2 linked regions of the Macaca mulatta genome follow. The protein of the gene in region 1 interacts with the protein of each later gene in a pairwise test. Links are inferred from orthologs where the notes say so. Each region holds a gene or a part of one and is shown in the gene's direction. Other genes may lie near its edges.

Region 1 (15,729 bases):
CTACTTCCCCAGCACGCACAGGCTAGAGTTCAGGTCCCATGAACCCCAGAGGCCGGCTTGGTGTTTTTCACTGCCATATCCCGGGAGCTGGAACAGGGCCTGGGATGTGGGATGGAGGGAGGCAGGAATGAATGAATGGATACATGAATGCAGGCTCCCTGAACTCTCTTGGCTGGTGGCAGGGCCAGGGTTAAGGTCCCATTCTGCACCAGAGCTGTCTCCCTCCCTGACATTGGCTTTGGGACTGTGCCTGAGCCGGCTGCGGCGGACGCCCTTCCAGCAGGCGGGAGTGAGGCTGTGCGGCCACAAGGGGACAGTGGAGAGCGTCGCAGTCTCCGCCGCTTGCTGCCAGTCATCCCGGTGGTGACGGGTCAGCTCAGCCTCTGCACTGAAAGTCTCTCTATTGTTAGGGTTTGGGTTCACTGTGGCCAACTGGGCGAGGCGTCACTGCACCAGCTCTCTGGCCCTGGCTTCCTGTGGATGGGCCTCTTCAAGACCATGGTCAGTGTCCCGGGAGAAGGGGCCTGTGGGTCCTGCCAGGGCTTGGCCCCCGTGTGCACCTGGAATGGCTGTTCTGCTAGTGTTGGTCTAATCATACTTATTTGTTTATTTTTGTGAGACAGGGTCTTGCTCTGCCTCCCAGGCTGGAGTGCAGTGGTACGGTATCAGCTCACTGCAACCTCTGCCTCCTGGGTTCAAACAGTCCTCCTGCCACAGCCTCCTGAGTAGCTGAAATTACAGGCATGCACCACCATGCCCAGCTAATTTTTGTATTTTTAGTAGAGATGGAGTTTCACCATGTTGTCCAGGCTAGTCTTGAACTCCTGACCTCAGGTAGTCCGCCCGCCTTGACCTCCTAAAGTGCTAGGATTACAGGCATGAGCCACCGTGCCCAGTCATCATATTTATTCTTTTTATTTTTTTTTTTGAGACAGAGTCTCGCTGTGTCTCCCAGACTGGAGTGCAGTGGCGCGATCTCGGCTCACTGCAAGCTCCGCCTCCCGGGTTCACGCCATTCTCCTGCCTCAGCCTCCCAAGTAGCTGGGACTACAGCTGCCCGCCACCTCGCCTGGCTAATTTTTTTGTATTTTTAGTAGAAACGGAGTTTCACTGTGTTAGCCAGGATGGTCTCGATCTCCTGACCTCGTGATTCACCCACCTTGGCCTCCCAAAGTGCTGGGATTACAGGCGTGAGCCACCGTGCCCAGTCATCATATTTATTCTTATATAAGATTCATCCTAAACTAGGGATGATTACGGTAACCCTGTCAGATGGCAGCTGGGGACAGCACACTTTGCCATGAGGATATGGAGGTTCAGAGAGGTTGGGTGACACCCAGGGCCACACAGCTAGTAAATGGGTAGGTCTGCTTCTATGGGTTGTTCACCCACCAGGTGGGCGCAATCCCAGGAGCTGTGACACGTGCTTAGAAAACGAGAGCCCTCCTTTTTACTTCTCCTGCCCCCATTAGTAATATCTTCATGATCACAAAGACAGTGAAGACAGGGGCCCTGTTGCTTGCGGTACTCCCCTCCGGGCTTGGGAGGCACAAACCTCGCCCCTGCTCCCCTCCTGCAGGGTGGGCTTCGCGCCCCACCCTGCGTCCTGGCTCTTGGCCCTGCCCTGACCTTGTGCTGCCACGAGTTGCTGTTGGCTGGGCCCGGGAATCTTGGGCCTCCTGGTGAGAATTCCTCTCAAGCTAGTGGAACTGTCATCACAGAGCCACAGGCCGGCAGAGCCACCAGCCCGTGCCCCAGGCCAGAGCGCCTGCCTGCCCGCCTATTCCTGCCCTCTCCTTGCCCATCGTGCCTGAGGCTATGGAATCACACCCCATGCCCATGGCCAGTGCTGGGACTTTGCTGACACCAGTAGCCCCCTCCCACAGGTATCCCTTCATCCGCCCAGAGCATCTCAGCCCCTCCCAGCCCCGTGGCTCTGTGGGCTTCCTCAGGAGGGCCTGCCTCTCCTCCCTGCCTCACCGCTTCTCCTGGAGATGGGGCCAGAGCCTGCCGCCTCCCTGTCTGTGCTCAGGACCCCCTGCCTGGGGCTCTGTTCAGCAGCTGCCTGTGCCCTCTGCAGCCCTGGGCTTCCCCTGGGAGCCCCTGCCCGCTGCTGGCCTCAGGCCTGGGCAGGTGTGTATATATATATGTGTGTGTGTGTGTGTGTATGTGTGGCAGGCACAGAGCAGAGGTTGCAGTGGCAGTGGGATGTGGGGCGCGGAGGCCTTGATGAGGTCTCACTTCAGCCCTCCCTCTGGGGGTGGGGAACCTCTCCTGCTCCTCCCACCCGACTGTTTTTATTTTGATGGGTATTTGGGGCCTGTTTGTTAAAATAATTTATTGAGGTGAAATTCACGTAACATGAAACTAACCGATTTAAAAGTGAACAGTGGCATTGAGTGCACACGCAGCATCATGCAGCCTCCACCTCTGTCTCGTTCCAGAACATTGTCCTCACTCCGAAAGAAGACCTAGCAGCAGCCACTCCCCATTCCCCTGCCCCCGCCCAGCCCCTGGCCCGTCATCTGCTCTGGGCATTTGACATAGATATGGGACCCTTTGTGTCTGGCTTGTCTCACTTAGCGTAACTTATTTCTTTTACCCCACCTGGAATATCTTATTTAACTTTGTTACTTAGAAATAATTATAGGCCGGGCCAGGTGGGCTCACGCCTATAATCCCAGCGCTTTTGGAGGCCAAGGTGGGCGGATTGCCTAAGCTCAGGAATTTGAGACCAGCCTGGGCAACATGGAGAAACCCCATCTCTCCTAAAACACAAAAAATGAGCTGGATGTGGTGGTGTGTGCCTGTAATCCCAGCTACTCGGGAGGCTGAGTCAGGAGAATTGTTTGAACTTGAGAGGTGGAGGTTGCAGCGAGCCGAGATCGCACCACTGCACTCCATCCTGGTGACAGAGTGAGACTCCGTCTCAAAAAAAAAAAAAAAAAAAAAAAATAGAGACACGGGGAATTGCAAAAATAGTATGGAGAGGTCCCATGCTCCCCCCAGAGCCTTTCTGTCCTCTCTCTAGGAGGAGATGGCCGATGAGCTGGGGATTTGGGGCAGGAAACGGGAGAAGGGCAGCCGTCCCACTGAGGACTCATCCTGCCCAGGTGGCCCTAGCCATGGGCATTCCTGTCCCCTGCAGCCCGGGCTTACCTCTTTGCAGGCTCGGGCGTCTCCTCTCCTTGGGCTCAGGCTGGCCTGGTCGCCGCTGCTGCAGCTGTGCGTGTGGCCCCTCTCTCGGCCGCCCCCTCCTGCCGCAGCCTGGCGTCCTCTCCCAGCAGCTAGCCGGGACCCCGATGGCCGTACTCTCCCTCCTGGGCCCTGGTTCGGTGCCCAGGTTGGGGGGAGCAGGGTAGGATTTCACCCCTCCCCCTAGCAGCTGGCTGGACAGGGAGAGGGGCTGGTTGTATTTTAAGCTGTTGAGTGGTTCAGCAGGAACTCGGAGGCCTCCTCTCCCTGTGGACGCCGGGCTGCCTTCCTGCGGGCCACACGGGCTCAGAAGCATGTGGGCACTGCCTGCCTGGGGCCCGGGAACTATTAATATACCTGCAGCCACAGGCCAGGCCCTGTGCCCGCCCAGGGCCCTGCTGTGCTAACCCTTTCCCGTGCATCCCGCCCCTTGTCCTCTGTCCCTCTCCCACAAATCCCCTTGGTGGGGTCAGACGTCCCGCGTGGTGTGACCGAGCTCTTTTTTCTGGCCCCTCCATGTGCCAGCTCTTTGGCCTTGTTATCGCTGTGGCTTGGAGGAGCTCAGTAACCTTCCCCTAGAGGCCACATGGCCAGGCAGTGCCTGGAGTTGACAGCAGGGACTCAGGAGGCCCCATGGGCCAGAATTTCCTGGCTGCTGGGCCCATTCCCACCCTCCTGTCCAGGAAGTGGGGGCAAGTGTGTCATAGCTGGGGAAATAGGCCCCCATGGTGTGGTGACCGCCAGGCCAGCAGGGGAGTGGGGATCTGAACCAAACCCCCAGGCAACAACACCTCCCATCCCATGGGGTGTGCCCATCTGTCAGGGGTCACCTAGTGTACCCCACGCACCATTGCAGGGGACCCTCACAGTCCTGGGAGGTAGTCCGCTTCCTACCTGCCCCCTTCTGAGGCCTAGAGAGAGGTGACATGCCTGGGGTCCCCCAGGGACTACAAGGCAGGGCTGGTTACGGTTCCCGAGTGCAGGCCACCAAGCCCCCTTGTCTCCCACTGTCGTTGGGAGTGTGCAGGAGGGGTGCCCACCTTCTCTGGCTTGACCGTGGTGCCCTCTCCTGCAGGGTGGGCCCTAGCTGCCATGGCCCAGTCTCCCTGGGCTCTGGGTGGGTGGACCTGCCCTGGGATGACCCCGGCCCAGAGGTTTGTTTCTGAGCGTTATGTCCTGCTCCTTTTCCTCAGGCAGCCTCTGGGGGCCCCCGCTGGGGGTTCTGTGGGTAGGAAGGGTCCCCCAAGAATTGCTGGCCGGTGGCTGACTTGGTATCAGGCCTGCCTGCTTGCCACGACCCCTGTGTGATAGGATTGCACTGACCCCTGCATAGGGTGGGTCAGATCCGCGGGGACTGCTTCCCTCCAGCCCTGCCCCTCTGCACCCCCATCGTTCATCACTGGCCTGGGGGCTCAGGGAGGGCTGGGCCGGACTCCTCCCTCAGGGGCTGGCACAGGCCTAGCTCTTGGACGCAGGAAGCGCCGGGCTTTAGCGGGGTGCAGGTCCTGGGTAGGGGTGCAGTGTTTGGGCTGACTCAGTGGGAAGCCTGCCTCACAGGTGGCTACAAGGTGAGAAGTGGGTGGGGAGGAAGGTCGGGGAGGCCTCCTCAGCCCAGACTGGAGGCGCTTGCCTAAAACTTCCAAGCACCCCGATCCTTTCCACACTTTGAGAGAGGCTCTCTGCACCCATAACTCCAGAATCTGTCACCTCCCTGGTAACACAAATGCACAAGGAAAATAATCCGAAGTGTCTCTTACAGCTCCGAAGGGGAAATGGATGATCTGTCTCGTGGATTCTCAAAATAGCTGGGATTTCTCCAAGCCCAGTGAACTCCCTAGGCCTGAGCTGTGAGCTGGGGCCTGCACGGCCTGCTGGCCTCTCACTCTCCTCAGGCCGCTGGCTCTGTGCAGGGTGGGGGCTGGGAGGTGTCACCATGGCTGCCCCTGGGGCTTTCCCTGTGCTGGTGCTGTTGAGGGACTGTGACCCCTCAAAAACTGCTTTCAGGGCAGCCTGGCTCCCGGGGGTCACCTCCTAAACCCCCCTCAGAGAAGGTCTGTGGCACGGCTCCTGGGAGGGGGGCGCAGTCCGGGCTGGTTTTATATTTAGCTGGGCTGTGGCTGTGGTTGCCACTCGGGTTACATCTGGCACAGAAGCCGGCAGTGCCAGGGCCGGCACGGGCTCCTTTCCAGCACCGCGGCAGAATTTGATCGCGCTTGCCCGGCCCAGGGCTGCTTCGCGTGGGGAGGTCGGTGGTGGGGGCTGACGGCTGGCAGCTGGGGCTGCTGGCCACCGTGGACAGAGCCGAGCGGCAGGGCTGGTGGCAGGCGGCATGGACATGAGCTTGAACTTGGTGGCCCGGGAGGCCACCCCAGGTCTCCTCCCTGGCCTCAATGGGCTCCCCAGGCCCGCACCCCCAAAGGTGGCCAAGAAACCTAAAAAGGCTGTTCTCTTCTTCGAGGTGGAGATTCTGGATGCAAAGACAAGGGAGAAGCTGTGTTTCCTGGACAAGGTAGGACCGGAACATGGGCTGCACTGGGCCAAGGGCACTGGGTCCAGGACCCCCCTCCTTCCAGCCCAGGAGCTGTCCAGTGGGGCCCTGTGGAGGGGTATGCCCTCACTTGGGGTAGGGTAGATAGCCCCGTCCCCTGGGTGTGGCGGGGAAATGGAGGCATGGGAGTCTCAGTAGACCCTGCGGGGATTTTGGTCTTGGGAGGGTGGTGGAGGAGTGAGCCTTGCCCCTGCTGAGCCTTGCCCCTGCTGAGCCTTGCCCCTGAGGGAAGGGGCTTGGCCTGTCCCTGGGGAGGAAAGAGGGCCTTTGCGCCTGGGGGAGTCATGGGTGAGGAGTAGAGAGGAGGGGCAGAGAAGCAGGCTTGCCTTCCCTTGCTTAATCTGCCACTAGCTGGGCTGGGGGCCTGCTGGCTGAGGGTAAAACTGGAGCCCCAGACCCCTGCTGTCACTGCACTGGCAGGGCCCTCGCTGCTTCTTCCCTGATTGTCCAGGCCTCTGCCTTCCAGACCCCAGCCCTTCCCCCTTCCCATAGCTGCAGCCCAACCCCAAGCTTGCCATCCCCTTCATTACCTCCCCATCCTGGGTCTGGGCTCCCTGCAGAGCTGACCTCCCTGCGCCTGTGCTTCCTCCAGGTGGAGCCCCACGCCACCATTGCGGAGATCAAGAACCTCTTCACCAAGACCCGTGAGTCCTAGGCCTGGCCACACTGCCCCTGCAACCCCTCTGACCAGGGACCTTAGGGTGGGAGGGATCCCATCCTGCACCCCTCTCCCAGGGGCCTGCAGAGATGCCCGAGCGTGGCCTAGGCTTCTGGGGCGTGACTGGGGCAGGCGCCCCCACGTGGCACGCCACAGGAACGCCCTTGCTAGGCTCTGGGAAGGACAAGATCCTGCTTCTGCCCGCGCTCTTCCGGCCTGTGTCCTGGAACTGCACAGGCCTGAGGCTTGGCCTCCGGGTGGGAGGAGCTGTGGAGTCCTGGGGTCCCTGCACCCTGGGAACCCTGAGAAGCTGGCACAGCGACTGGGCAGCGGACCGGCTGAGCCCTGCCAGTCTGTGGGCTGTAACCGCCCTGTTCTCCCCCAGATCCGCAATGGTACCCCGCCCGCCAGTCCCTCCGCCTGGACCCCAGTGAGTACAGCTGTCCGCTCGGCCCGCCCCCTAGGCTCCTGGGTGGCAGTGGGAGAAGGCCCGGGCAGCCCCTGAGCCCTGGCCCGCCTCTCTGCAGAGGGCAAGTCCCTGAAGGATGAGGATATTCTACAGAAGCTGCCCGTGGGCACCACGGCCACGCTCTACTTCCGGGACCTGGGGGCCCAGATCAGCTGGGTGACGGTGAGTCCTGACCCTACCCACGGCCTCCTTTCCCATCAGCCACATTGGGTGACTCAACTTGCCTCCCTCTACCCTCAGGTCTTCCTAACAGAGTACGCAGGGCCCCTTTTCATCTACCTGCTCTTCTACTTCCGAGTGCCCTTCATCTATGGCCACAAATACGACTTCACGTCCAGTCGGCACACGGTGGTGCAGTAAGTGGGGCAGGCGGGAGGAGGGTAGGGGAAGGCAGAAGACCTGCCGGACCAGCCCCCAGCTGAGCCTGCTCCCCCCTACCAGCCTCGCCTGCATCTGCCACTCATTCCACTACGTCAAGCGCCTGCTGGAGACGCTCTTCGTGCACCGTTTCTCCCATGGCACCATGCCTTTGCGCAACATCTTCAAGGTGAGAGCCCGCCCCCGCCTCACCCCTGAGCCCCGCCTCACCCCTGAGCCCCGCCTCACCCCTGAGCCCCGCCTCACCCCTGAGCCCCGCCTCACCCCTGAGCCCCGCCTCACCCCTGAGCCCCGCCTTTCCGCCTCACCCCGCCCACATCGAGCCCTACCCCATAGCCCCTCCTATCTTCCACTACGCCCCCGCAGAGCCCTACCCCTAGGCCCCGCCTAACCTCCCCAGCGCCGCCCCCGCAGAGCCTCTAGGCCCTGCCCGTCCTCCCCAGCCCCGCCCCTGCAGAACCCTGCCCCAGTTTCACCCCTAGGCCCCTCCTGTCCACCACGCCCTCATAGAGCCCTGCCCTAGCCTCACTCCTTGGCCCCACCTATCCTCCCCAGCCCCGCCCCAAGGCCCCTCCTGCCCTTCCCCACCGTGCTCCTAGGGCCCTATGGATGAGACAGAATCCGCCCTGCCCGTCGCTGACAAGTCCCATCCCTACCCCGCTCCCTTTCAGAACTGCACCTACTACTGGGGCTTCGCCGCGTGGATGGCCTATTACATCAACCACCCTCTCTACACGCCGCCTAGTAAGTGGCCTCAGACCGTCCTTCCCTCCCCCACGGCCCCCACCCACCGGGTCCTCCCCTCATGGGCCTCCCCTCGCTGCTTCCTCTGCAGCCTACGGAGCTCAGCAGGTGAAACTGGCGCTCGCCATCTTTGTGGTAAGGAGGCTGGGTGTGGGGACGGGGTGGGGGAAATCTGGGCGATCCTAGGCTGATCCTGCTTCTCTGACAGATCTGCCAGCTCGGCAACTTCTCCATCCACATGGCCCTGCGGGACCTGCGGCCCGCTGGTGAGTGCCTGCTGGGGGCAGGGGGACAGCTGGGCTGGGTGAGGGGGTCTGACTTTCTCCTGTCTTGCCTGCCAGGGTCCAAGACCCGGAAGATCCCATACCCCACCAAGAACCCCTTCACGTGGCTCTTCCTGCTGGTGTCCTGCCCCAACTACACCTACGAGGTGAGGGGCTGCCTTACCCCTCTCTGCCCTGGGACTTGGGGTCCCATGTGGAGGGGCCAGCCCCTAGGAGGGGGCGCCTGGCTGGGCAGCTGCTTTTGCATTGGGAGCATTGGGAGGTGGAGACCGCGGCCTCCCTGCTGTGGGGGCCGGGAGGCATGTGCCCTTGGGTTTTCGCAGTATACAGCCCCGCTTCCACTGGAATTGGGTTCCCATCCCTGACTCAGAAAGCAGGGGCTGGGGGACGTGGGTGACTGAGTCCAGGACAGCCACAGGGTGCGAGACTGGCGGAACAGCGGGCCTTGTCCAGCCCTGCCCACCCTCACCCTCCGCCCCTGCCCACAGGTGGGGTCCTGGATCGGTTTCGCCATCATGACGCAGTGTCTCCCAGGTGAGCCTGCCGCCCTCCCTCGGCGGGGCCCTGCCCCTCCGGGCCTGCAGCCCCTCCTTGACGCCCGTTCTTTCCTGCAGTGGCCCTGTTCTCCCTGGTGGGCTTCACCCAGATGACCATCTGGGCCAAGGGCAAGCACCGCAGCTACCTGAAGGAGTTCCGGGACTATCCGCCCCTGCGCATGCCCATCATCCCCTTCCTGCTCTGAGCGCTCACCGTTGCTGGGGCTCAGCCCCTCACCCGGGTGGCATTCTGGGGGAGGAGTGGGGCCCGCAGCTCTCCAGCACCCGGAATAAACCCCGCCTGCCCCTGTCGGACTCGGGCTCTGTGTGTTTCTGTCCGAGGTTGGGGACCACCACATGCCCCTCGCTCTCTCCCCACCCTCGCGTTGGCGCCGTAAGAGGGGACTCTGGTGAGGGGCCTGAAGGTTTTTATTTGACTGGTCCATAGGGTGGGGGGTGCACCCCCTACAGGGCCACCTGGGGGTCCACTTTCCTGGGTCCCTGGCCTTTGGCCAACTCTGCCGCCTTCTTCTCCCGCCGCTGCTTTCGCTCCAGCAGCCTCCGCTCCCGCTCAAACTCCTTCATGCGCATCACATAGCTGAGGGAAAAGCATGAGAGGGGCTGTCAGTGTCGCTGGCCAGGACACGCCTTCCAAGCCCTGGGAAGTAGAGGGGCTGTCCCACAGCACTGTGGGGGAGGCCTCTGAAGAAGACAGACCCGAGTGCCTGTGGTTTAGGTCTGGGGTCTGTCCACGCAGATGATAGGGCTTCCCGCTGGAACCTGGGCTTGGCCACTCCCCTAGGTGGCTTCAGCCACCTGCCCTGTCCCCATCCAACAGGCCCCTAGAAAGCCCTCTCTGGGACTAAGGTGGGGCCCGGCTAGAAACCTCAGTGGCAGTTCAGGTCTCTGGCCTCTGGAGCCACATCCTGCCAGGGGCCAGGGCCTGGGTGGGGTGCAGGCTGTGGGTGTTGGCAGGGGGCTCGGGCGAGCTGGGGGTGTGGGGTGCTTGGGTGGGCCAGGGTTGTGGAAGGCTGGGGGTGTGGGGTGCTGCGGGCCGGTGTGGGAGTTCTCACTCGCGGTGCTCGCAGTAGTGCCAGTCGTGCTGCTCCTGCTTGCAGGCCAGGAAGTTGGGGAACCTGTCGCGCTTGCACTTGAGCAGCTGGATGAGGTAGTGGGCACAGTAGTCCCGCAGCTGGAGACTCAGCTGCGCGTCCATCATCTCCTGCTGTGTGGCCACCATCTCTGCAGCGAGTGGGCAGGGCTCAACCAGGCTGAAGGCCTCCCACCCCAATTCCAGGGATCCCCAGGGGACCCAGGCACACGGCATCAGGAAGCCACGGCTCGGGGTGTCCCCCATTAACATCCAGGTGGCAGATGGTAGTGGATGGCAGATGCCTTTGATGGACGCACTGTCCTGAAGGGGCCTCCTTTTCTAATTTGCACAAAGGCAACTCCAGACACGAAAGCCCAGATAGGAGAAGGTGGCTCCCCATCACCCTGAGGCACCTCAACATCCTGCGCTGGATCCTTGCCTCCCCTCCCGCAGGGATGCCCGTCCCCAACTCTCTACAGCCCCGCTCTCAGAATCCACCTTCTCCCAGAGTACCCCCTCAGACTCCACCCGCACCTGCAGCTCCAGTCAGACTCCTAGCCTTTCTTGTCTGCAACCCGCCCGGGTCCCGGCTCTGCACTGGCCGGCGGCGTGGCCTCTCTCTGAGCCTCAGAACTGACCATCAGCTCATGGAAGTTACCTGAGCATCCACTGAGCTAACAGTACCTGTAAGATACTTAGGCGTGGGCTCAGAAGACAGCTGGACTAGTATCTGGGTCCCGGTGCCGCACTCACCTAGCAAACCTGACTCCGGACAAATCAACCTTCAGGAGGCTGATGGGAGCCTGAGGAACCCTGGACATTCACCCTGGAGCCTGTGCCTGGCGATCCTGCACTTGTTCCCCGCTGCCTCCCTCAGACCCAGCCTCCCTAGCCCTCCTGACGTCCACATCTTTCTTAGTCCCAGCTCCTTCCCATTTGCGCAAGTGAGAGGAGACATACTCACATCTCAATGGCAGTCATCCCAGGCTGGCTTCTCTCCCCTCTGCTTCCCAGCCGTGATTCCCTCATCCCACTCAGGCCCAGGTCCTCCTCTCCTGCCCCTTGTTCCATTCTCTGGCTTCTGCCCCACCCTCTCACTGCCCAGACAGGGGCTCTCACAGGGCCACCCAACAGCCCAGGACCCCAGCCTCCCACTTCCTTCTTTCCTGTGGCTCCTCCCACATCCCGCCTTCCCAGGTTTCCTCCCATCTCTATGGCTGCCTTGCGTTAAGCTTTGTTCTGAGAGCCTTCTTCTTTTCTTTTATTTTGAGATGGAGTCTCACTCTGTCACCCAGGCTGGAGGGCAGTAGCAAGATCTCAGCTCACTGCAACCTCTGTCTCCCACGTTCAAGCGATTCTCCTGCCTCAGCTTCCCGAGTAGCTGGGACGCCACAGGCGTCCACCACCACGCCTGGCTAATTTTTGTATTTTTAGTAGAGATAGGGTTTCGCCATGGTAGTCAGGCTGGTCTCGAACTCGTGACCTCAGGTGATCCACCCACTTTGGCCTCCCAAAGTGCTGGGATTACAAGTGCTAGCCCCCACGCCCAGTCTGAGATCCTTTTTCTCTGCTGCCACCCCTTAGGTAGATGAGTCCGATGTGGTCCCTCCACCCCACACCTCGTTTGAGCCCTAGGCCTGGGTATCACCTGCAGCCCCTGGCTGTTCCCTATCTGCACTTGGAGCTCCAGGTGGCAATCCTAGACTCCTCCCTCTTTTGTCTCAAACTTATAATCAACTAGCAGCAAGGACTTTAGACCGCCTACTGTGTGCTTAGTGGTGGGGATACAGCACGGAACACAACACACAAGGGTCCCTGCCCTCGGAGGGAGACACAGAACAGACAGAAGACAGAGCACCACAGCGTGTCTGGCAGTGCTTAAGTATTAGGGAGACCAGCCTGGGGAGCACAGAAAGATCCCATGTCTAGAAAAAATAATAAAACTGTCTGGGCACGGTGGTGCACACAGAGAAGGCAGAGCTACTTGGGAGGATCGCTTGAACCCAGGAGTTTGAGGCTGCAGTGGGTGGTAACCGCACCACTGCACTCCAGCCTAAGCAACAGAGTGAGAGCCCATCTCTATAAACAAATAAATAAATATGGGCCGAGCGTGGTGGCTCATGCCTGTAATCCCAGCACTTTGGGAGGCTGAGGCGGGTGGATCACTTGAGGTTAGGAGTTCGAGATCAGCCTGGCCAACATGGTAAAACCCTGTCTCTACTAAAAATACAAAAATGAGCCAGGTGCGGTGGTGCGCACCTGTAATCCCAGCTACTCGGGAGGCTGACGCAGGAGAACTGCTTGAACCAGCAAGGCGGATGTTGCAGTTAGCAAAGTGACTGGCTGAAAGGGGGTGGAAAGGAGGAAAGAGAGGGCAGGGGACAATGGTCTAGGAGGGAGGGAGAGAGTGAAGGATCCAGGAGGTAATAGAAAGGCCAGGCAGCATGAAGAGTCCACTGGAGAACCAATCGGGAGACCAGTCAGCAGGGACTGCAGGAATGTGCCACCACACCCAGCTAATTAAAAAAAAAAAATGTAGAGACAGGGTCTTGCTATGTTGCCCAGGCTATTCTTGAACTTCTGGCCTCCAGCACTCCTCCTGCCTTGGCCTCCCAAAGCGTTGGGCATGAGCCATTTTGCCTAGCTTAGAGCTGTTTTTTTCTGATCTCTCCCGCATCATGTTCAGTTGCATGGGGATAGGCGCCAAGGAAGGGAAAGAGGTGAGTTTATCCAGAGTAAGCGAGAGAGAAGGGCAGCAGGTTGCTAGCGTTTGCAAAGCTGATCTTGGGCAAAGCAAGGTATGTGAGGCAATGGGAGGGAGGTGGACGGACCAATGGACTGCAGGTTCAGCTGGGGCGGAAAGACTGCCTGGAGTGAGGACACTGGAGCGATTATACCATCTCCCAACTTTCTCTCAAATCCAGGCTGCTTAGAGGTGTCTGTCTCAAGCTTGTCGCCCGCTCAGCAGACAGCGGGACCTTTTGACTGACCAAACCTGACTGTGTCCCTCCTCTGTTTAGAAGTTTTGGCTCTGCCACCTCTCTTTGGTCAACCCCTACTCGTGGCCCTTCACATCTTTTTTTTCTTTTCCAGACAGAGTCTTGTTCTGTCACCCAGGCTGGAGTGTGGTGGCCCGATCTCGGCTCACTGCAGTCTCTGCCTCCCGGGTTCCAGCCAATTCTCCTGACTCAGCCTCCCAGACAGCTGGGATTACAGGCACGCACCACCACACCCGGCTAATTTTTGTATTTTTGGGAGACAGGGTTTCACCATGTTGGCCAGGCTGGTCTTGAACTCCTGACCTCAGGTGATCCACTGACCTTGACCTCCCAAAGTGCTGGGATTACAGGCGTGAGCCACCGTGCCCAGCCTAATTTTTATATATATATATATTTTGAGATGGAGTCTTGCTCTGTTGCCCAGGCTGGAGTGCAGTGGTGTGATCTCAGCTCACTGCAACCTCCTCCTCCTGGGTTCAAGTGATTCTCCTGCCTCAGCCTCCTGAGTAGCTGGGACTACAGGTGCGCACCACCATGCCCCCAGCTAATTTTTGTATTTTTAGTAGAGACAGGGTTTCACCATATTGGCTAGAATGGTCTTGAATCCCTGACCTCATGATCTGCCCATCTCGGCCTCCCAAAGTGCTGGGATTATAGGCATGAGCCACCGTGCCCGGCCTTAATTTTTGTATTTTTAGTAGAGACAGTATTTCACCATGTTGGCCAGGCTGGTCTCGAACTCCTGACCTTAGGTGATCTGCCCGCCTCAGCCTCCCAAAGTGCTGGGATTACAGGCATGAGCCACCGTGCCTGGCCACCCTTCACGTCTTTGTTTCCAGTCTCTGCCTACTGGAAGCCTGCCTTGACACCATCCAGCTCTGCCTGATTCCACAATCCTTCCCACTGTGCTGTGAGTTCTCTGGAGACAGTGCCTGCATCCTTCCAGTTCCCTGCTGTATCCGCGGTTCCTAATGTGGGAGGTGGCCCAGAGCTGGCTCTCGGTATGCCTGTGATATTACTACATTAAAAGCAAAAACAAACATGAACCAAAAAACCATCCTGGGCATAGTGGCTCACATCTGCAATCCCAGCACTTTGGGAGGCTGGGCAGAAGGATCGCTTGAGCCCAGGAGTTTGACACCAGCCTGGGCAACAGCAAGACCCCCATCTCTACAAAAAATAAAAAATCAGCTTGGCATCCTGGCACGCTCCTGTAGTCCCAGCTACTCGGGAGGTTGAGGCAGGAGGATAGCTTGAGCCCAGGAGGTCGAGGATGCAGTGAGCTGTGATTGCACCACTGCACTCAGCCTGGACAACAGAGCAAGATCCCATCTCAAAGCAAAACAAAGCACTTTGCAGGACGGTATTCGCGGCGCGAATCTTCCTTATTTTCTTGTGCATGCACCACAATTGCAGCGACATTAGGAAAGGGGTACAATGAACATGTCCCTGCCCTCCCGTGACTCCCCACATCTCCCAAGACTCGGCCCGAAGCCGGGAGTGGTAGCTCACGCCTATAATCCCAGCACTTTGGGAGGCCGAGGCAGGCGGATCACTTGAGGTCAGGAGTTCAAGACCAGCCTGGTCAACATAGCGAAACCCCGTCTCTACTAACAATACAAAAAATCAGCCGGGCGTGGTGGTGCCCATCTGTAATCCCAGCTACTCGCAAGGCTGAGGCAGGAGAATCGCTTGAACCTGCGAGGTGGAGGCTGCAGTGAGTCGAGACCACGCCACTGCACTCTAGCCTGAAAGAAAAAGCGAGACTCTGTCTCAAAAGAAAAAAAAAAGACTCGACTGAGCTCTGCGCGCCGCACTCCTGCCCGATCCCCTACTTGTCTCACTTTTGCACCCTGGCTTTTACTCAAGCCGTGCCCTTGGCCTGGAACGCCTCCACCCTCAGGCGGGGACACGCACGTCCTCTGGACTCCTAGTCTAGACCCAAACCCAGACACAACACCTGAGGTTAGAGCCCAGTCTTGGGGTTCCAGGGGTTCGGGGGTCAGGCGCCCGCGCCCCACGCCCTCTGGTCGCGCCTGCGCATTGGGCCTCACCGCGCTCCTTGCGTTCGGGCAAGCCGTAGTCGGGCGGGAAAGTTGGCATCTGCAAGGGGTCGGGCTCCACCGAGGAATCGCCCAAGTAGCGCCGGACGAGGTGCGCCCCCATGGCTGCAGTCGCTGCAGGTTCCTGCAGCAGCCGAGGGTCACCCAGCTCCTACCCGGAACCACTGACCCCTCAGCTAGACACGGCTTCCGGGTCGCTTAGGCGGCTGCGGAGAGCATAGAGATGAAGGACTCCAGAGGATCGCTCCGGTCCGCCTGGCGTCACCTCGCGGACAGGCGGAGGCGGGACAAGTGCTGCGTCCCCTCGCAGGATGTGCTTGGACCCGAGAGGGGACTTCCCTGAGCGTGGAAATCCATCTGGGCAAAGTAGAAGGGGAAGATGTAGGACTGAGGCCTCCCTCGACCCTATCTGGGGCTCTTCTGGTAGCCCGAGGCTAAAGCACGTATTAAAATTATTTTTCATATCATTTTCCAAAAAGTTTTTTCTTCTAAAACATTAAAATTTCTCTTAAAAAAAGGCACAATATCGGCCGGGCGCGGTGGCTCATGCCTGTAATCCCAGCACTTTGGGAGGCCGAGGTGGGCGGATTACGAGGTCAGGAGCTCGAGACCATCCTGGCTAACACGGTGAAACCCCGTCTCTACTAAAAATATAAAAAATCAGCCGGGTGTGGTGGCGGCGCCTGTAGTCCCAGCTACTCAGGAGGCTGAGGCAGGAGAATGGCGTGAACCTGGGAGGCGGAGCTTGCAGTGAGCCGAGAT
Region 2 (16,599 bases), on another chromosome or scaffold:
AGGTATATCCAGACAACGGGATATTATTCAGTGATTGAAAGAAGTAAGCTATCAAGCCATGAAAGACACAGACAAACCTTAAGTGCATGTTGCTAAGTGAAAAAAAAAAAAAGAAAAACAACGGAAAGGCAACATCCTGTGTAATTCCAACTATATGGCATTCTGGAAAAAGCAACACTGTAGAGACAATAAAAAATCAATGGTAACTATGGGTGTGGGAGGAGGCTGGTTTGGGATGAATGGGTAAAGCACAAATTTTTAGGGCAGTGAAACTATTATGTACAACGTGCCATGACAGATACATGGTATTATATATTCATAAAAACTCATATAGGCAAGGAACAAGGGATTATTAAAAATGACCAGGCAGATTTGAAAGGTTTGTGTATTGTTTAGGAAGATAATAAAGATACTGATTAATATTAGACTTTAATGAGTTAATGATCCATGCTGTAATTTCTATGGTAACCAATAAAAGAAGAGAAGCAAGATGTACAAATTCCAGTGAGTAGAGGGGGAAGAATTAGTGATTATAAATGCAAAAAAGGAGTGATATGGTTTAGCTCTGTGTCTCTACCCAAATCTCATCTCAAATTGTAATCATCACTTGTTGAGGGAGGGACTGGTGGGAGGTGATTGGACCATGGGGATGGTTTCCCTCATGCTGTTCTAGTGATAGTGAGTTCTCACAAGGTCTGATGTTTATGTGTGTGTGGCAGTTCCCTCTTTACTCTCTCTCTCTCCTGCTGCCTTGTGGAGAAGGTGCTTGCTTCTCCTTCACTGTCCACCACTGTATTTGTCCCTTCTCACACAGCTATGAAGAAATATCTGAGACTAGGTAATTTATAAAGGAAAGAGGTTTAATGGACACAGTTCTGCATGGCTGGGGAGGCCTCAGGAAACTTACAATCATGTTGGAAAGGGAAGCCAACATACCTTCTTCACATGGCAGTAGGAGAGAGATATGCAAGCAGGGGACGTGCCAGATGCTTATGAAACCATCAGAGCTTGTGAGTTTCACTCACTATCACAAGAATAGCATAGAGGTAACCACATCCACGATTCAATTACCTCCCACTGGGTCCCTCCCACAACACATGGGGATTATGGGAACTACAATTTAAGATGAGATGTGGGTGGAAACACAGCCTAATTGTATCAGCCATGATTGTAAATTTCCTGAGGCCTCCCAAGCAATGCAGAACTGTGAGTCAATTAAACATCTTTTCTTTATAAATTACCCAGTCTCAGGTATTCTTTATAGAGGTGTGAAACTGGACTAATACAGAAGATTGGTACTGGGAGTGGGGTACTGCTATAAAGATACCTGAATATGTTGAAGCAAGTGTGGAACTGGGAAACAGGTAGAGGTCACAACAGTTTGGAGGGCTCAGAAGAAGACACGAAGATATGGGGAAGTTTGGAACTTCCTGAAGAATTGTTAAATGATTTTGACCAAAATGCTGATAGTGACATGGACAATAAAGTCCAGGCTGAGGTGGTCTTAGGTGGAGATGAAGAACTTATTGGGAACTGGAGGAAAGGTCACTCTTGCTATGTATGCTTTAGCAAAGAGACTGACAGCATTTTGCCCCTGCCCTAGAGATCTGTGGAACTTTAAGCTTGAGACAGATGATTTAGGGTATCTGGCAAAGAAATTTCTAAGCACCAAAGCATTCAAGATGTCACACGGCTTTTTCTGAAAGCAAACAGTCATATGCGTTCACAAGGAGATGATCTAAAATTAGAACTTATGTTTAAAAGGGAAGCAGAGCATAAAAGTTTGGAAAATTTGCAGCCTGACAATGCAGTAGAAAACAAAGACCCATTTTCCAGGGAGAAATTTGAGCCAGCTGCAGGAATTTGCATAAGTAACAAGGAGATGAATGTTAATAGCTGAGACAATGGGGAAAATGTCTCCAGGGAATCTCAGAGATCTTCAGGACAGCCCCTCCCATCAAAGACCTAGAGGCCTAGGAGGGAAAAATGGTTTCCTGGGCTAGGCAGGCCCAGGGCTCTACTGCTGTGTGCAGCCTCAAGACATGGTTCCCTGTGTCCCAGCCACTCCAGCTCATGGCTAAAAGAGGCCAAGGTACAGCTTGGGCCATTGCTTCAGAGGATGCAAGCCCCAAGCTCTTGCAGCTTTTATGTGGTGTTGGGCCTACAAGTTTGCAGAAGCCAAGAGCTGAGGTTTAGAAACCTACGCCTAGATTTCAGAGGATGTATGGAAATGACTGGATGTCCAGTCAGAAGTCTGCTGCATGGGCGGAGCCCTCACAGAGAACTTCTACTAGGGCAGCAGAAAAGGGAAACGTGGGGTTGGAGTATCCATACAGAGTGCCCACTGGGGTACTACCTAGTGGATCTGTGAGAATAGGGCCACTGTCCTCCAGACCCCAGAATGGTAGATCCACCAACAACTTGCACTCTGGACCTGGAAAAGCTGCAGGCATTCAACTCCAGCCCATGAAAGCAGCCTTGGGGGCTGTACCCTGCAGAGCTACAAGGGCAGAGCTGCCCAAAGCCTTAGGAGCCCACCTCTTGAATCGGCATGCACTGGATATGAGACATGGAGTCAAAGGAGATTATTTAAGAGGTTTAATATTTAATGACTACCCAACCAGGTTTCAGACTTGCGTGGGCCCTTTGTTTTGGCCAATTTCTCCCATGTGGAAGGGGAACATTTACCCAATGCCTATACCCCCATTGTATCTTGGAAGTAACTAACTTGTTTTTGATTGTACAGGCTTGCAGGTGATAGGGACTTGCCTTGTCTCAGATCAGACTTTGAACTTGGACTTTTGAGTTAATGCTGGAATGAGTTAAAACTTTGGGGGACTATTGGGAAGGCATGACTGGAACAGCACATGCAAATTCCCTGAGGCAAAAAAGGAGTATTGCTTGATGGAAGACCTAAGATGAGGCCAGTATGACTAGGAGGGGCATGGTGAGTCTGAGGAGGCAGGTAGGCTCTAGCCTATGCAGATTTTTGTATACCACATTAAATATTATATGCTTTATCCTAAGTGTCATCAAAAGCCATTTAAATATCTTTAGGGGGTCGGGTAGAGGAAGGTAGTAGACATTAACAAGCTTGTATGTGAAAAAGATCACTCTGGCTATACTGTAGAGCAGGGGTCCCCAACCCCTGGGCCACAGACTGGTACAGGTCCATGGCCTGTTAGGAATCCAGCCACACAGCAGGAGGTGAGCAGCAGGCAAGTGAGCATTACCACCTGAGCTCCACCTCCTGCCAGATCAACAGCAGCATTATATTCTCAGAGGAACACAAACCCTATCGTGAACCGTGCATACAAGGGATCTAGGTTGCATGCTCCACTTAATGCCTGTTGATCCGAAGTGAAACAGTTTCATCCTGAAACCATTCCCTCTCCAGTACACAGAAAAATTGTCTTCCATGAAACCAGTCCCTGGTGCCAAAAAGGTTGGAGATCGCTGCTGTAAAGAACAGCCTGGAATTGGGCTGAAGTGACTGAAAGAAGATACATTGAGTTTTAAATTGACTTCCAACTGAACAGAACTGTATGCACTCCTGCCTCCTCCTACTTTCCCATTAAGTAGATTATATTGGAAAAAAAATCAGTCAAATGAATGAAAGAAGCTTTCAGATGAATGATTATTTGGTTTTGTAAAATGGTTCACTTCTTTATTTCTTTTGCAAAGAAATTGTTTTGCCCTCTGATTACAGTGTGCAAGTTGGGCTCACCAACTTGCACTTTAAAAAATTCAGGAAGGTCGGGCGTGGTGGCTCATGCCTGTAATCCCAGCACTTTGGGAGGCTGAGGTGGGTGGATCACCTGAGGTCAGGACTTCGAAACCAGCCTGGCCAACATGGTGAAACCCCGTCTCTACTAAACATACAAAAATTAGCCAGGCATTGGGGCAGGCACCTGTAATCCCAGCCACTTGGAAGGCTGAGGCAGGAGAATCGCCTGAACCCGGGAGGCGGAGGTTGCAGTGAGCTGAGATTGTGCCATCGCACTCCAGTCTGGGGGACAAGAGCAAGACTCTGTCTCCAAAAAAAAAAAAAAGAAAAAAGAAAAAAAAGAAAAAATTCAGGAAAACTGCCTTGTTTTCCTGAACAAGGAACAGAGGCAACAGAATCTCTAAACAATCTGCAACAATGGTGGAAAAGGATGGGACCCTGACAATTGTCAATTTATACCTCTCACTTCATCTCTTGAGGTCTTGAAACTGCTTTTGCAAGAATTATAACAGTGAGAAAATTATGACTGAAAGAGATCTGATCTAACCAGCCCCCATCTTGCCTCTGCAAATCAAAGAACATGACCAAGGCAAGTCTCAATCATTTTAGGAGGTTTATTTGCCATAGTAAAGGATGCATGCCAGGGAAGCAGGTATATGCTTATCTCCAAAGATTATTTTGAGGGCTTCAGTACTTAAAGGGGAAAGGGTGGATATTGGGGGAAGATAAATTTTTTTTTTTTTTTTTTTTTGAGATGGAGTTTTGCTCTGTCACCAGGCTGGAGTGCAGCGGCGCAATCTTGGCTCACTGCAACCTCCAAATCCCTGGATCAAGCGATTCTCTTGCCTTGGTCTCCCAAGTAGCTGGGACTACAGGTGTGCATCACCACGCCCAGCTAATTTTTGTATTTTTAGTAAAGATGGGGTTTCACCATACTGGCCAGGCTGGTCTCAAACTCCTGACCTCATGATCCGCCTGCCTGGCCTCCCAAAGTGCTGGGATTACAGGCATGAGCCACTGCACCCAGCTGAAAAATATTTTTAAATTGTGTCAGTAGATAAAAAGACAAAACAGTTGCATCCTTTTGAATACACAATTTTCATGTGAGGGGGGTGTGGAGGAAATATTCATGCCTTCATCTGGCTCAGTTAATCTGTATTTTTACATAAGATAACATAGACAATAGGGCAGAGGAAGCAATCAGATATGCATTTGTCTCAGGTGAGCAGAGGGAAAACCTTGAGTTCTGTCCTATGTCTCATAATTGTGAAGACATCAACTTATATTGCCAGGTTGAAATTCAACAGAACTGTTTTAGAGTAAAGATCTTTGGGCCTAAAAGGAATTTACTTGTGGGCAAAATGTGAGGGAAGTATATAGCTTTTATCTTTGTAGCCATCTTATTTAGGAACCAAATGGGAGGCAGGTTTGTGTGACCCAGTTCCCAGCTTGACTTTTCCCTTTGGCTCAGTGAATCTGGCGTTTTCCTTTCTCACCTTTAACCTCCAATACTGCCCTTGGTCATTCCTGGGCTTGGACCAAGCTAACTTTGGGAGAAACTTAGTTTATAGTTTAAGTGATAATAGCCCCTCCCCAAAACTAAACCACTTTTGTAAAACTAATGAAAAGCCACCAGGTTAGAAGGATAAGAGGAGCTTGAATTCTGCTAAGACATAGGCTTCGTTAAGTTAAATAGATTACCAGCCACTATTGCAGAGGTCACAAGATTTGCAGCTCTCCCAATTGTAGAACCTAAGATTGGCCTTTTGAGATAACCTTTCAGGCTTCTGCATTTCGGATGGCCAACGACCCCACTGGGACCTTTGACTCTTGGCTCAACCAGTCCTGTGGCCTCCACCCAGAAGCAGGCTTAGTGCAGGAGGACCATTTTCCACATCCCTATAATTGCATTCCCAACCAATCAGCAGCACCCATTAATTGCATCCCTATAATTGCATTCCCAACCAATCAGCAGCACCCATTCCTCCAGCTTCCTGTTTGCCAAACTGTTTGTGTGTGTGTGTGTGTGTTTTTTGACTACAGCTCTCAGATCTTAGCCAAACTATTCTTGGAAAACCCTAGCCTCTGACTTTTGGGGGAGATTTTGAGTAATAACTCCATCTCATGTCAATTAAACTCTTTATTGCAATGCCATGGTCTCCATGAATTGATTTTGTCTGTGCAGTGGGCAGGAAGAACGTATTGGGTGATTACAGTGTCATGGATTTAAATACCACCACCCCCCTCAGAACTCTGAGAAAAGATAAATGGCTCTAACAGCTTTGAGCTGTCTGAGCTATGTGAGGTATGCAAAAACTTATCAGGCCCAGAGAAACAGGAGTTTGCCTGGGGGCAATTGTTTAGACATTCTGTTCCTCACCTCACCCATTCTGAGCCTCACCCATTATCTTCATGTTCCTGGAATCTGTGATACAAATAATAGTTTATAGCCAATCAATAGCTAATGTAATTTTAATGTAAATTCTTAGTAAACAACTTAGAAATTGCCTCTTTTTCCTTTAAAAACCCACTCATAACTGCTGCTAATCAGAGTGTATATTTACGGTAACTTGAATCTACACTCCCAGGTAGCCATCTTCAACGTTTACGCTTGAATAAACTTCCTTTCAACTAGATTCTTACCTTTTTTATTATTTTAGGTTGACAACTCTCAAATTTATATTTCCAGCCCATTGGACTTCCTTCCCGAACCTCAGGGTCTAAATCTAATTGTCTATCCAGCCTCTCCACTTGGATGTTTAATAAGGATTTCAAATTCAACATATAAAAAACAAAATTCCTGACTTCCGCCTTAAAAACAGTTTCTTACAAGTTGCTCAAAATGCCTTTGACCTCACACTCCAAAACTAATATAGCCACAAATCTTATGATTCTACTTCTAAAATATGCCCAGAATTCATTGTTGTTGTCATCACCTCGATCTCCACCACTCTGGCCCACACCACTATCACTATAGCTGGATTATTGTAATAACTTCCTGATACCACTTCTCACCAACTAATACGAGCATTTTCGTCTGGTTCCCTCAGGGGTCCTTAAGCCCCAGGCTGCGGATAGTACCAGTCCGTGGCCTGTTAGGAACCAGGAGGCACAGCAGGAGGTGAGCAGCAAGCAAGGGAGCATTACCTCCTGAGCTCCGCCTCCCTCAGATCAGCGGTGGCATCACATTCTCAGAGGGGAGTGAACCCTATTGTGAACTGCGCATTGGAGAGATCTAAGTTGTATGCTCCTTATGAGAATCTAATGATAAATGTAATGCCTTTGAATCATCCTGAAACCATCATCCATCCCCCACCACGAAACCGGTCCCTGGTGCCCAAAAAGTTAGGGGCCGCTGCTCTATATAATCCCTGGGAGACCGATGACTTTGTCTCTTTCACTTAGTGCCATGAACTCCAGGGCAACTTTGTGGACGCTCCATAAGTACTTGCTGGAATGAACCCATATATATTTTATACTACCACATATACAGTAATACATTTAAGGAGCTGCTTGGGTGTGTAAAAAATTGCAGGGGACGTTTACAAATAAAGAACCTCCTGAAACAAAGCAAAATGGAAAGTGGGGTCAGCTGGTTGAAGCAGTGCCCACAAGCTGCTCCAGCTTCCCAAAGCAGACAGGTTTTCCACCTAAGCCAACATCCTTTTATTTTTAGTCACTATATCTATAAATCTACTCCCTTACCCCGCACCTCACTCTCAGCCGACAGCCCAATGGGCTTATCCTCTTCTCGCCCTCACGATGAGCGAGTCCATGTGGTCTCAGGCTGCAAGATGCACTTGAACACCTGCCCAAACCTCACGGACGACACTGGATTCTAGGCCTCCTGGGCTTCTCCACTGTACTAGGAATGTAAAATCAAAAGTCAGAAAGAAAACTTCGGAGGTGGAATCTCCAACCCGGCTACGGGTTGGAAGTAAAGCGCATCTAGCAAAGGGCTGGTCCATGCAGCCTCAAGGATTGATGGGAAGTGAATCCACCGTCAACCGCCCTGATTCAAAATGGCAGGATACCGGAGCGATAGTGTTTAGGTGTGAAGGTAGGGCCATTGAAGAACGGAGAACGAAAGCACAATTGTTTTGATTCAACATGGAGGCGGTGATTACAGGAGGGCGAATAGCGAGAGACGACGCAACATCCAGCTGGCAGAGGCAGCAGGCCTGGCGAGGGTGGCCACATTGAACTAATCCAAGATGGCGCCGAGGTTGTAACCGGGAGCGCGCAAGAGGCGGGAATTACCCTGATCCAAAATGGCAGTGGCAATTGAGGCAAGCCGAGGGACGGAAGCGCCAGGAGCGTCTTTGCCCTCAGCCAAGATGGCGGCTGCCGTGGACCTGTCCCGGCTCCGCCCCGCGGCCCCGGCCCCGCCTCTCCCTCGTCCCTCCCTCCGCCCCCTCGCCTCGTACAGTCCGGCCAGAGCCGCTCGCGCTGCGAGAGCGGGCTTCGGGCACTTGACATGGCGGCAGCGGCGGCGACTGCAGCGGCGAAGGGGAATGGGGGCGGCGGTGGCAGGGCCGGGGCCGGGGACGCCAGCGGCACGCGGAAGAAGAAGGGCCCGGGGCCCCTGGCCACGGCGTACCTGGTTATCTACAATGTGGTGATGACAGCCGGGTGAGTCTGGGGCTCGGGGAGGCGGGGAGGCGGGGAGCCAGCGCGGCCGGGGAGGGAGCGCTGCGGCCAGCGGCGCGGCCCGCCGCAGGCAGTGCATCCCGGGCGGGCGGTGCCCGGGACCCGGCACCTGGTCGCTGAGGGCGGCCGAGCGCTGAATCGGCCCCGGTGGCTGCCCGCGAGCTCCCTCCTGCGCTGGGGGTCGAGCCAAGTTCCCAGGCACTGGGGCGCGGGGACGGCTGCCGGGCGCTGGCTCGCGAGGGCCGCGGGAGAAAAGGTGGGGCTGGCCACAGGTGCGGGGCCCGGGGCGGCGGCCGGATGACCTGCCTCGCGGAGCCCATCCCGGGCGACCAGGCTCGGATGGTGAACGGCGCCAGCCTAGGGAGTGGAGGAGCTGTGGCTGCAGGGTGACCATTCATTTGGGCGGCTGTTTTCAAAATCTGGACTGCGCTTTAATCAGAAAGGTATTGGGAAAGAGTTCAAAGTTTTTGGCCAGCGACATAAGCAGAGCTGAGTTTTAGATGAGTTCAGACTTTCAGGATGGGTTGGGGTGGAGAAGAAGCTGGGGAGTAGAAGGCAGAGTTACTGGAGAGGGGGAGAATAGACCCTCGAAACGGTTTTACCCATCTTCTGTCTCCCTCATTTTAGTCCATCCCTTATCCCGGCGGGTTTTTAGTTCAAGCTCTGCCACTAACTAGCTGTGTGACTTTGGATAAATCATCTTATTTCTCTAGCCTCCGTGTTTTCATCTGTAAAACTGAAGGGTTGGGCTGGGTGATGAAGGTTCCTTCAGCTCTGCAATTCTTTATCTCGTCATTTTGGTGAGGAGGATCACAGGATCAGACAATTTGTTATATATTTTTAAGTTATCTTCATTTGTAATTTTTAAAGAAGTCCTAACATTTTATGAAAAATTTCAAACATACAGAAGAGTTGAAAGAATTGTATAGTGAATATCCATTTTTATTTAGTTTTAAAGTAGGTGATACATTGGCAGGGTTCAAAATGAAAAACATGAGGGAATACAGTGAAAATCTTTCCTCCCACCTTTCCCTTCTACCCAGATCCCCTCCCTCGAGGCAGTTAATTTTGTATATCCTTAAGATGCTGATGCAAGCAAATATGTTTATACATCCCCCTACCCCTTTTTAAAATAAGACAAATGCCAATATATTATTATTTTTACAATTCAGCACCTTGCTTTTTTTTCCAAAAAAAAAGAAAAGACATCGTGGGAGGATCATACATGTATTGCTAGTATTAGAAATGGTAAGTGTTGAAACCTAGGCTCAGAGAAGTTGTGACTTGCATGAGATCATAGAACTTGTTAGTAGAAGTTCCGGATCTGGAAATCATTTCTTTTGACTCACAGGTCAATGAAGAACTAGTACAGATACAAGCTTTATATCACATCAGTGGTCACATAGATTGATTTTTAAAAGAACATCCAGGAATCTCTCTGTGTGTATTAATATTTATATATGTAATTCTTGTTGTCTTAGCAAGGGCTGGTGAGGGCATTGGACTGGAGAGGGATTTTAAGGTACATTGGTAAGAAGAAAGAAGTCTATTCCTGAGCAATGAACATAGAGAATTGGGTGGAGGGTAAGGAGTGGTGTCTTAAACCAGGAAGATAAATTGGGATTGTGAGAGCAAAGTAAGCTTTTTTTTTTAAAAGGCTGTTAATGGTTATACCAGTTACACCATTAAATAATTTCTTCTTTTACAAACTCTTATTTGATGTCCTTATATGATAGTTTTTGGAAATAGCATAGACCACACACACCCCATTGCCTAGTTGATACTATACATTGATCTAAATCCTTCCAGGAGACATACCTTAATAAAAAGGTCCATTTGTTTTATTATGGAACTTAACAAAACATTATGTTTATTTTTGAGAAGGACAGTGGAACAAAAATATAACATTCACGGCTGTATGCTTAAGTGCTTTCCTGTTTTATGATTTGTATTGATCTGGCTTTCATTTCTGAGTTGATTTCGGGAAATTTGGCTAAAAACCTTTTTTTTTTTTTTTTAACAAGAGCCCTTTATTCTTAATTTTAAAAGGATAGATTTTAAGGTATGGGTAATTGTTCCAGTGAGACAATTATAAAAATAGTTTAAAGGATCTTCTTTCTACCCTATAATTATTAAAAACCCTTTAATTGCACAGGCTGTTTAAAATTTTCCTTTAACTATTTTTTTCTCGTCTTAGATTTTCTTGGCACCTAATTTAGTGGCACAAGGACCATTTTAGCTTATTTCTTTCCTTTTGGCCTTGTTCTCAATAGCAAAGTTGCCAAAAAAAATGAGCTCCAGATGGGTGAGGTGCCACTATGCTTTCACTGAGCCCTCTTGGTAAGGTGCTGTTAGTGTTGCAACATTTCAGTGCATTACAGCTTGGCATTTGAGAGCTATCATCCATAAATCCAGATTACTGATGCTTGAGGTCACCTTTAGCAATATCTTTTATTGCCACAGCTGTCTATTAACCTAAATCCTACTTTTTTTATTTTTATATTTTCCTGATTGCTCTTTTCTCTTTTACTAGGTGGCTGGTTATAGCGGTTGGTCTGGTCCGAGCATACCTGGCTAAGGGTAGCTACCATAGCCTTTATTATTCAATTGAAAAGCCTTTGAAATTCTTTCAAACTGGAGCCTTATTGGAGGTAGGTCCTGAGATTTATTGTTGTTATTGATTTCCATTGGTATAAAAAAAAAATGCAACTAAATTATATTGAAGTAGCATACCTCCATTGGATTCGTGTTAAATTTTGAAATTTTGCCTCCTCACGTACTAAAGTGTTGATACCTAGGCTTTTTGATGTTCTAGATTGGGTAAAATCTCATTTAACTTATATTACCTTGAATATATTTTGTATTCGACTTTGGAAAATCAACTGAAACAAGCTTGTATTAGGATTTTAAAAAATTCTAGGGACATCCTGAGGAAGCACTGGCAAAATCAGATGCTTTCAGGGTTTATGTAATAGAAATAGTGAAGTTGGTGGGTGTAGGATATTGGGAGTGATAGATAGAAAACATAATAGAGAGCCTGTCTAAAGGCATCCAAATTTTAAAAATTTAACAAAAATGTATTGATTTCCCTGCATTAAGGGCAGTGTATATCCAGCCCTCTCTCTTGGGGTAAGTATAGATTAGCATTTTGGAATTGCAAGGGACAAAAACCAATTCAAACTATTTTAAGCAAAAAAGGAATTTTCTGGCCTCTGTAGTTGATACAGATACAGGATTAATTTACAAAAAACTAGCTCAGGAATGAGAACCAAGGAGTTGATGCTGCCAGATTCTCTTGCTTTCTCTCATCTCTGCTTGTCTGTTTCTCTTTGAATGTTGGTCTTGGGCTCTCCACATGGTGGGAAACAGGGAGGGTGTTTATTTTTCTCAGCATTTGTGTCACATAGTTCCCAGGGAGGATTCTGGTTGGCCCTACTTAGACTGTGCCAGTGATGTGAGGTGCTTGATTAGCCAATCTTAGGACACATACCCATTCTTCTCTCTGAGGGACTATAGACTTTGTTTATGGAAAAGAGGAATGGGGATAGCTTTGGGCTATCAATAGCCGCCGTAGTTCATTATGGTGAAAAACCTTCAGATTGCAGGGAAGATCTGGTTCATTTTGCTTAGCCTCCAGGCACGACCATCTTGACATTTATACTTTACTGGCAACTTTTAAAACCTGAACTATCGAATGATACTTAAGAAAAAGTCGTTTATCTCGCTGGGCATGGTGGCTCACGCCTGTAATCCCAGCACTTTGGGAGGCCGAGGCAGGCGGATAACGAGGTCAGGAGATTGAGACCATCCTGGCTAACATAGCGAAAACCCGTCTCTACTAAAAATATAAAACTTAGCAGGGTATGGTGGCACACGCATGTAGTCCCAGCTACTGGGGATTCTGAGGCAGGAGAATCGCTTTGAACCGGGAGGCAGAGGTTGCAGTGAGCCGAGATCACGCCACTTGTACTCCAGACTGGGCGACAGAACCAGACTCTGTCTCAAAAAAAAAAAAAAAAAAAAGAAAAAAAGTAAAAATCGTTTATCTCATGAAATGAAATGTGATACCTCTACCTTTCATTCTCACTCTTTTTTATTTTCTTGAGACAGGGTCTTGCTCTGTCGCCCAGGCTGGAGTGCAGTGGTGCAATCATGGCCATGGCTCACTGCAGCCTTGAACTCCTGGGATCAAGCAGTCCTCCCACCTCAGCTTCCAGAGTAGCTGGGCCCACAGGTGTACACCACCATACATGGCTAATTTTTAAAACTTCGTAGAGACAGAGTCTCCCTGTGTTGTCCAAGCTGGTTTCAAACTCCTCAGCTCAAGCAGTCTTCCCATCTCAGCCTCTCAAAGCACTGGGATTATAGGCGTGAACCACTGCACCCAGCCCACTCTCACTTTATTTATTTATTTTTTTGAGAGAGGGTCACTCTGTCACCCAGGCTGAAGTGCAGTGGTGTGATCACTGCTAACTGCAGCCTCGACTTCCCAGGCCCCAGCCATCCTCCCACCTTATCCTCCCAAGTAGCTGGGACCACAGGCATGCACCACTGTGCCTGGCTCATTTGTATATTTTTGGTAGAGATGAGGTTTGGCTGTGTCACCCAGGTGGGATCCACTCTCACTTTCTAAATCAGAAAGTTATCCATTTTGCTTTTGTTTTTTTCTCTTAGAAGGCAGTTTCTTTTTTTCTTTCTTTCTTTTCTTTTCTTTTTTTTTTTTTTCTTTGAGACAGGGCCTTACTCTGTTGCCCAGGCAGGAGTGCAGTGGTGAGATCTCGGCTCACTGCAACACAGAGGAATTTCAATAGTGTCCATACTTAGACATTTTAAGTAGGTGGTATGATGAAATGCGCTTCCAGCTGGAAGCCTGAGTACCTTTTTTATTTTAAGTATAATAGTTTTCCCAACTGACTCTAGAGATTTGGGCGAGTCTTTTCTCTCTTATCTACCTCCTTTTCATTTGTAAAATAATTAGGTTAAAGTAGATTTCTAAAGTCCTTTACTACCCTAACCATTTGAGTCTGAGGAAATTTTAATAAATCCTAATGTGAACCATTTTTTAAACTTAGAGGCTTGAACTTTTTTTGGAAGGGGACACTAGTAAATAAGTAGTACTTTCTATCTCAGAGCCTTGGCCAGTACAGTTCCCTCAAGCTACAGAGAAGCAAATTTGGAGTCAAGACCATCAGACTCCCAGTACTTGATATAGTAGGGGGTTGTCCCCAATTGGAATACTTCAATAATTTAAAGGGGTTTCTATTTCTATCATAATATTAGGGCTGAGCACAGTGGCTTATGCTTATCATCCCAGCAATCCCAGAGCTTTGGGAGGCCAAGGCAGCAGGATCGCTTGAGGGCAAGAGTTCGAGACCAACTTGGGCAACATAGCAAGACCTCGTCTCTAAAAAAAAAAAATTTTTTTTTTTTTAGCTGGGCTGGGTGGTGGGTACCTGTAGTCCCAGCTACTTGGGAGGCTGAAATGGGAGGCATGAGCTTGAGCCCAGGAGTTTGAGGCTGCAGCGAACTATGATTGCATCACTACAGTCCAGCCTGGATGACAGAGTGAGACCTTGTCTCAAAAAAAAAAAAAAAAAACCAGCAAAAAAAAAACACTTGGTAATGTTAGAAGTATAATGTTTGAAATTTAAGTATATCTTATGGAAGGTAGGGACATTAAACAGTGTCATACTTTAAAATCCACTCAGGAACCAAGTCTTAGACTTTGAAGGATTAGCCTGTTTATCCTTATAGAATTTTTAATAGGGATTTAGGAAAATATCTTGGATTTTTGGTTTTATCTCTGTTATCCCCGCTAAGAACCAATTAAGTGACAAATCCTGGATTTGATTTTGGGAAAAAGTCTGCATAAGGAAGTGACGACTCCCAGGAACATGCAGGCAATTAACATTGCAAAGGTCAGTGATGGAAGTAATCCCTTGGACTGCGTTAGAGCAGGCTTGCTGAAACAACAGTTTCTGTGGTTGAGGAGCTTTTCATTGCCTACCCCATCTATGCTGTGTAATAATTAGATGTGTATGATATTGTTTAATTACACATAAGTTATCCCGATGGGAATTATTAGTGTTGACAGTATATCCTGTTTACAGGAGGAGAAAATGAATCCAGGGAAGGCAGCTACTCATTTATATCTCTCTATGCTAAATGTTATTCTTTATTAGGTTCTGTGGGAGTTTACTTAAAAAGGAAATCGAAATTACTTGTTCTCCAATTTCAAATCTTCTTAGGAAAATAATAACACTTTGCTTTTTAAAAGCCATAAAAACATTTACCAAGCAAGTACAAAGGAGCATGTAGTAGTGAGGTACAAAAGGAAGCCTGGCTGAGTGCCGTGGCTCACACCTGTAATCCCAGCACTTTGGGAGGCTGACATGGGGGGACTGCTTGAGGCCAGGAATTCAAGACCAACCTGGGAAACATAGCGAGACCCCATCTCTACAAAAAATTTAAAAATTAGCCAGGCATGGTAGCATATGCCTGTAGTCCCAGCTAATCAGGAGACTGAGGCCGGAGGATCACTTGTGCCCAGGAGTTCAAGGCTACAGTGAGCCATGATCGTGCCACTGCACTCCAGCCTGGGTAACAGAGCAAGACCCCATTTCCAAAAAAAAACAGTATATATAAATAAAATGCTACTCATGGATAAAATGTGATCTATGGATATAAACATTCATAAAATTAATAAAAGCAAATGAATTACTGATATATGTTATGCCTGGATAAATCTTGAAAAAAATGCATGTGAAAGGAGGCAGATACAAAAAGTCACAAATAGTATGATATCATTTATATGAAATATCCAGAAAGGCAAATCCATAGTGACAGAAAGTAGAGGAATTATTAGGGGATGTGGGGAGTGACTGCTAATGGTACAGGATTTCCTTTTAAGGTGGTGATATTGTTGTTGAAATAGTGGTGGTGGGTGCACAACTCTGTGAACATATTAAAAACCACTGGATTGTACAGTTTAAAATTGTGAATTTTGTGGCATGTGAATTCTATGTCAGTTTTTAAAAAACAAGTTCCTCTGTAATGAGCTGTGGATGTTTTCTACTTTATTCATTTTTTGGAGTCCGTGATATTCATTGATAAGGCAGATGTTATCTTTGCGTATTTGTCAAGTATAGTTAGATTAAAAATTAGTAGATTGATGCAGTTATGGCAGTTTAAAATTGTGTCTGAGAGAATTTGGGTTTCTCAATATCTTTGGTTAACATAAGACTGTAATTATAGCAAAGACACTTTCAAATACTCATGATTGGATATACCTCTGCAATTGACAGTGAGATTTCAAATGGGTTAAAGATTGCTCTGCAAAGAGGTTAACTGTTGAGATTGTTACAGACTATCTTCAACGTATTTACATTGCTGTATATGTCATTTACCTACCATTGTGTATCTGGGACTGCCTGATGGACCACAGGAACTCCCTTTCCTTCCCATTCTCTTACAGATCTTTCTTCTACTTAAAACCCCTTATCTACAAAAATGAATAAACAACCCAATCTCATTTCTGATAGTGTTGAATTGATCTAGGACAGGGTCTGGAGAAGTGGTGAGAGACAGCAGACAGCTTTTGTTAGTCTTCTAACCCCACCACCACTTTCTGGGCCCCATCTGTGTGGTCCGGTCTCACTCTTCAGACCTCACCTCACAATGCTCTTCAGATCCTTTAATGAATAGGAAACTGATTTGGGGTATTTCTCTAAAATATATCAAAGTCTTAGGAACTTGCAGTGTCCTTAAGAAGAAAGATCCCTTCTTATCTCCCTGCCAGTTTTTCTTTCTTTATGGCTCAAACACTAACTGATTTTTGCCATGGAGGTATAGCGCTTCAGACTGCTTTTGTAAACTGGTTTGAGGACATAACCATTGTCTGTTTTATTTTTCCTTCTTGTGGAAACATTCTGATTTCCCAATAATAATCTCAAAAAGGAACTTCTAAAAAGCAAGCTACATGCATATGTTAGGCTCCTTTTATTCTGGACCCATTTTGAGGAGACACATCTCTAAAAGAGGCTTTTGAAAAGCTAGCAAGAGCAAGTCATAGTGGAGATATCTAACACAAATAGGAATGACAACAAATCCCAGAAAAACCAACTTCTCAAACAGTGTGAAAACCAGAGGAAAACGCTAACTTGATTAAAATTAATAAGTGTCACAACATTAGAAGGGAATAGGGAGCCGGAAGGAAACAGGAA

Evidence for each region.
Region 2: the proteins of TECR (region 1) and HACD2 interact in binary tests that used the Homo sapiens proteins (3 or more experiments, as listed by UniProt). The link is inferred for Macaca mulatta from reciprocal best matches to the Homo sapiens genes TECR and HACD2.

Annotation. Positions count from the first base shown.
Region 1 is NC_133424.1:15,171,365-15,187,093, forward strand, and holds the end of TECR (very-long-chain enoyl-CoA reductase), read left to right. Parts: intron 1-3,159; exon of another isoform or gene 3,160-3,646; intron 3,647-5,653; coding exon 5,654-5,704; intron 5,705-6,335; coding exon 6,336-6,387; intron 6,388-6,786; coding exon 6,787-6,831; intron 6,832-6,928; coding exon 6,929-7,032; intron 7,033-7,110; coding exon 7,111-7,226; intron 7,227-7,311; coding exon 7,312-7,417; intron 7,418-7,919; coding exon 7,920-7,992; intron 7,993-8,083; coding exon 8,084-8,127; intron 8,128-8,200; coding exon 8,201-8,258; intron 8,259-8,333; coding exon 8,334-8,422; intron 8,423-8,764; coding exon 8,765-8,810; intron 8,811-8,890; coding exon 8,891-9,018; 3' UTR 9,019-9,127; downstream 9,128-15,729. Other genes in the region: NDUFB7 (NADH dehydrogenase [ubiquinone] 1 beta subcomplex subunit 7), read right to left, coding at 9,278-9,410, 9,886-10,054, 14,959-15,070. UniProt on the Homo sapiens protein: Involved in both the production of very long-chain fatty acids for sphingolipid synthesis and the degradation of the sphingosine moiety in sphingolipids through the sphingosine 1-phosphate metabolic pathway.
Region 2 is NC_133407.1:160,173,816-160,190,414, forward strand, and holds the start of HACD2 (very-long-chain (3R)-3-hydroxyacyl-CoA dehydratase 2), read left to right. Parts: upstream 1-8,192; 5' UTR 8,193-8,204; coding exon 8,205-8,359; intron 8,360-10,910; coding exon 10,911-11,028; intron 11,029-16,599. UniProt on the Homo sapiens protein: Catalyzes the third of the very long-chain fatty acids (VLCFA) elongation four-step cycle (condensation, reduction, dehydration, and reduction).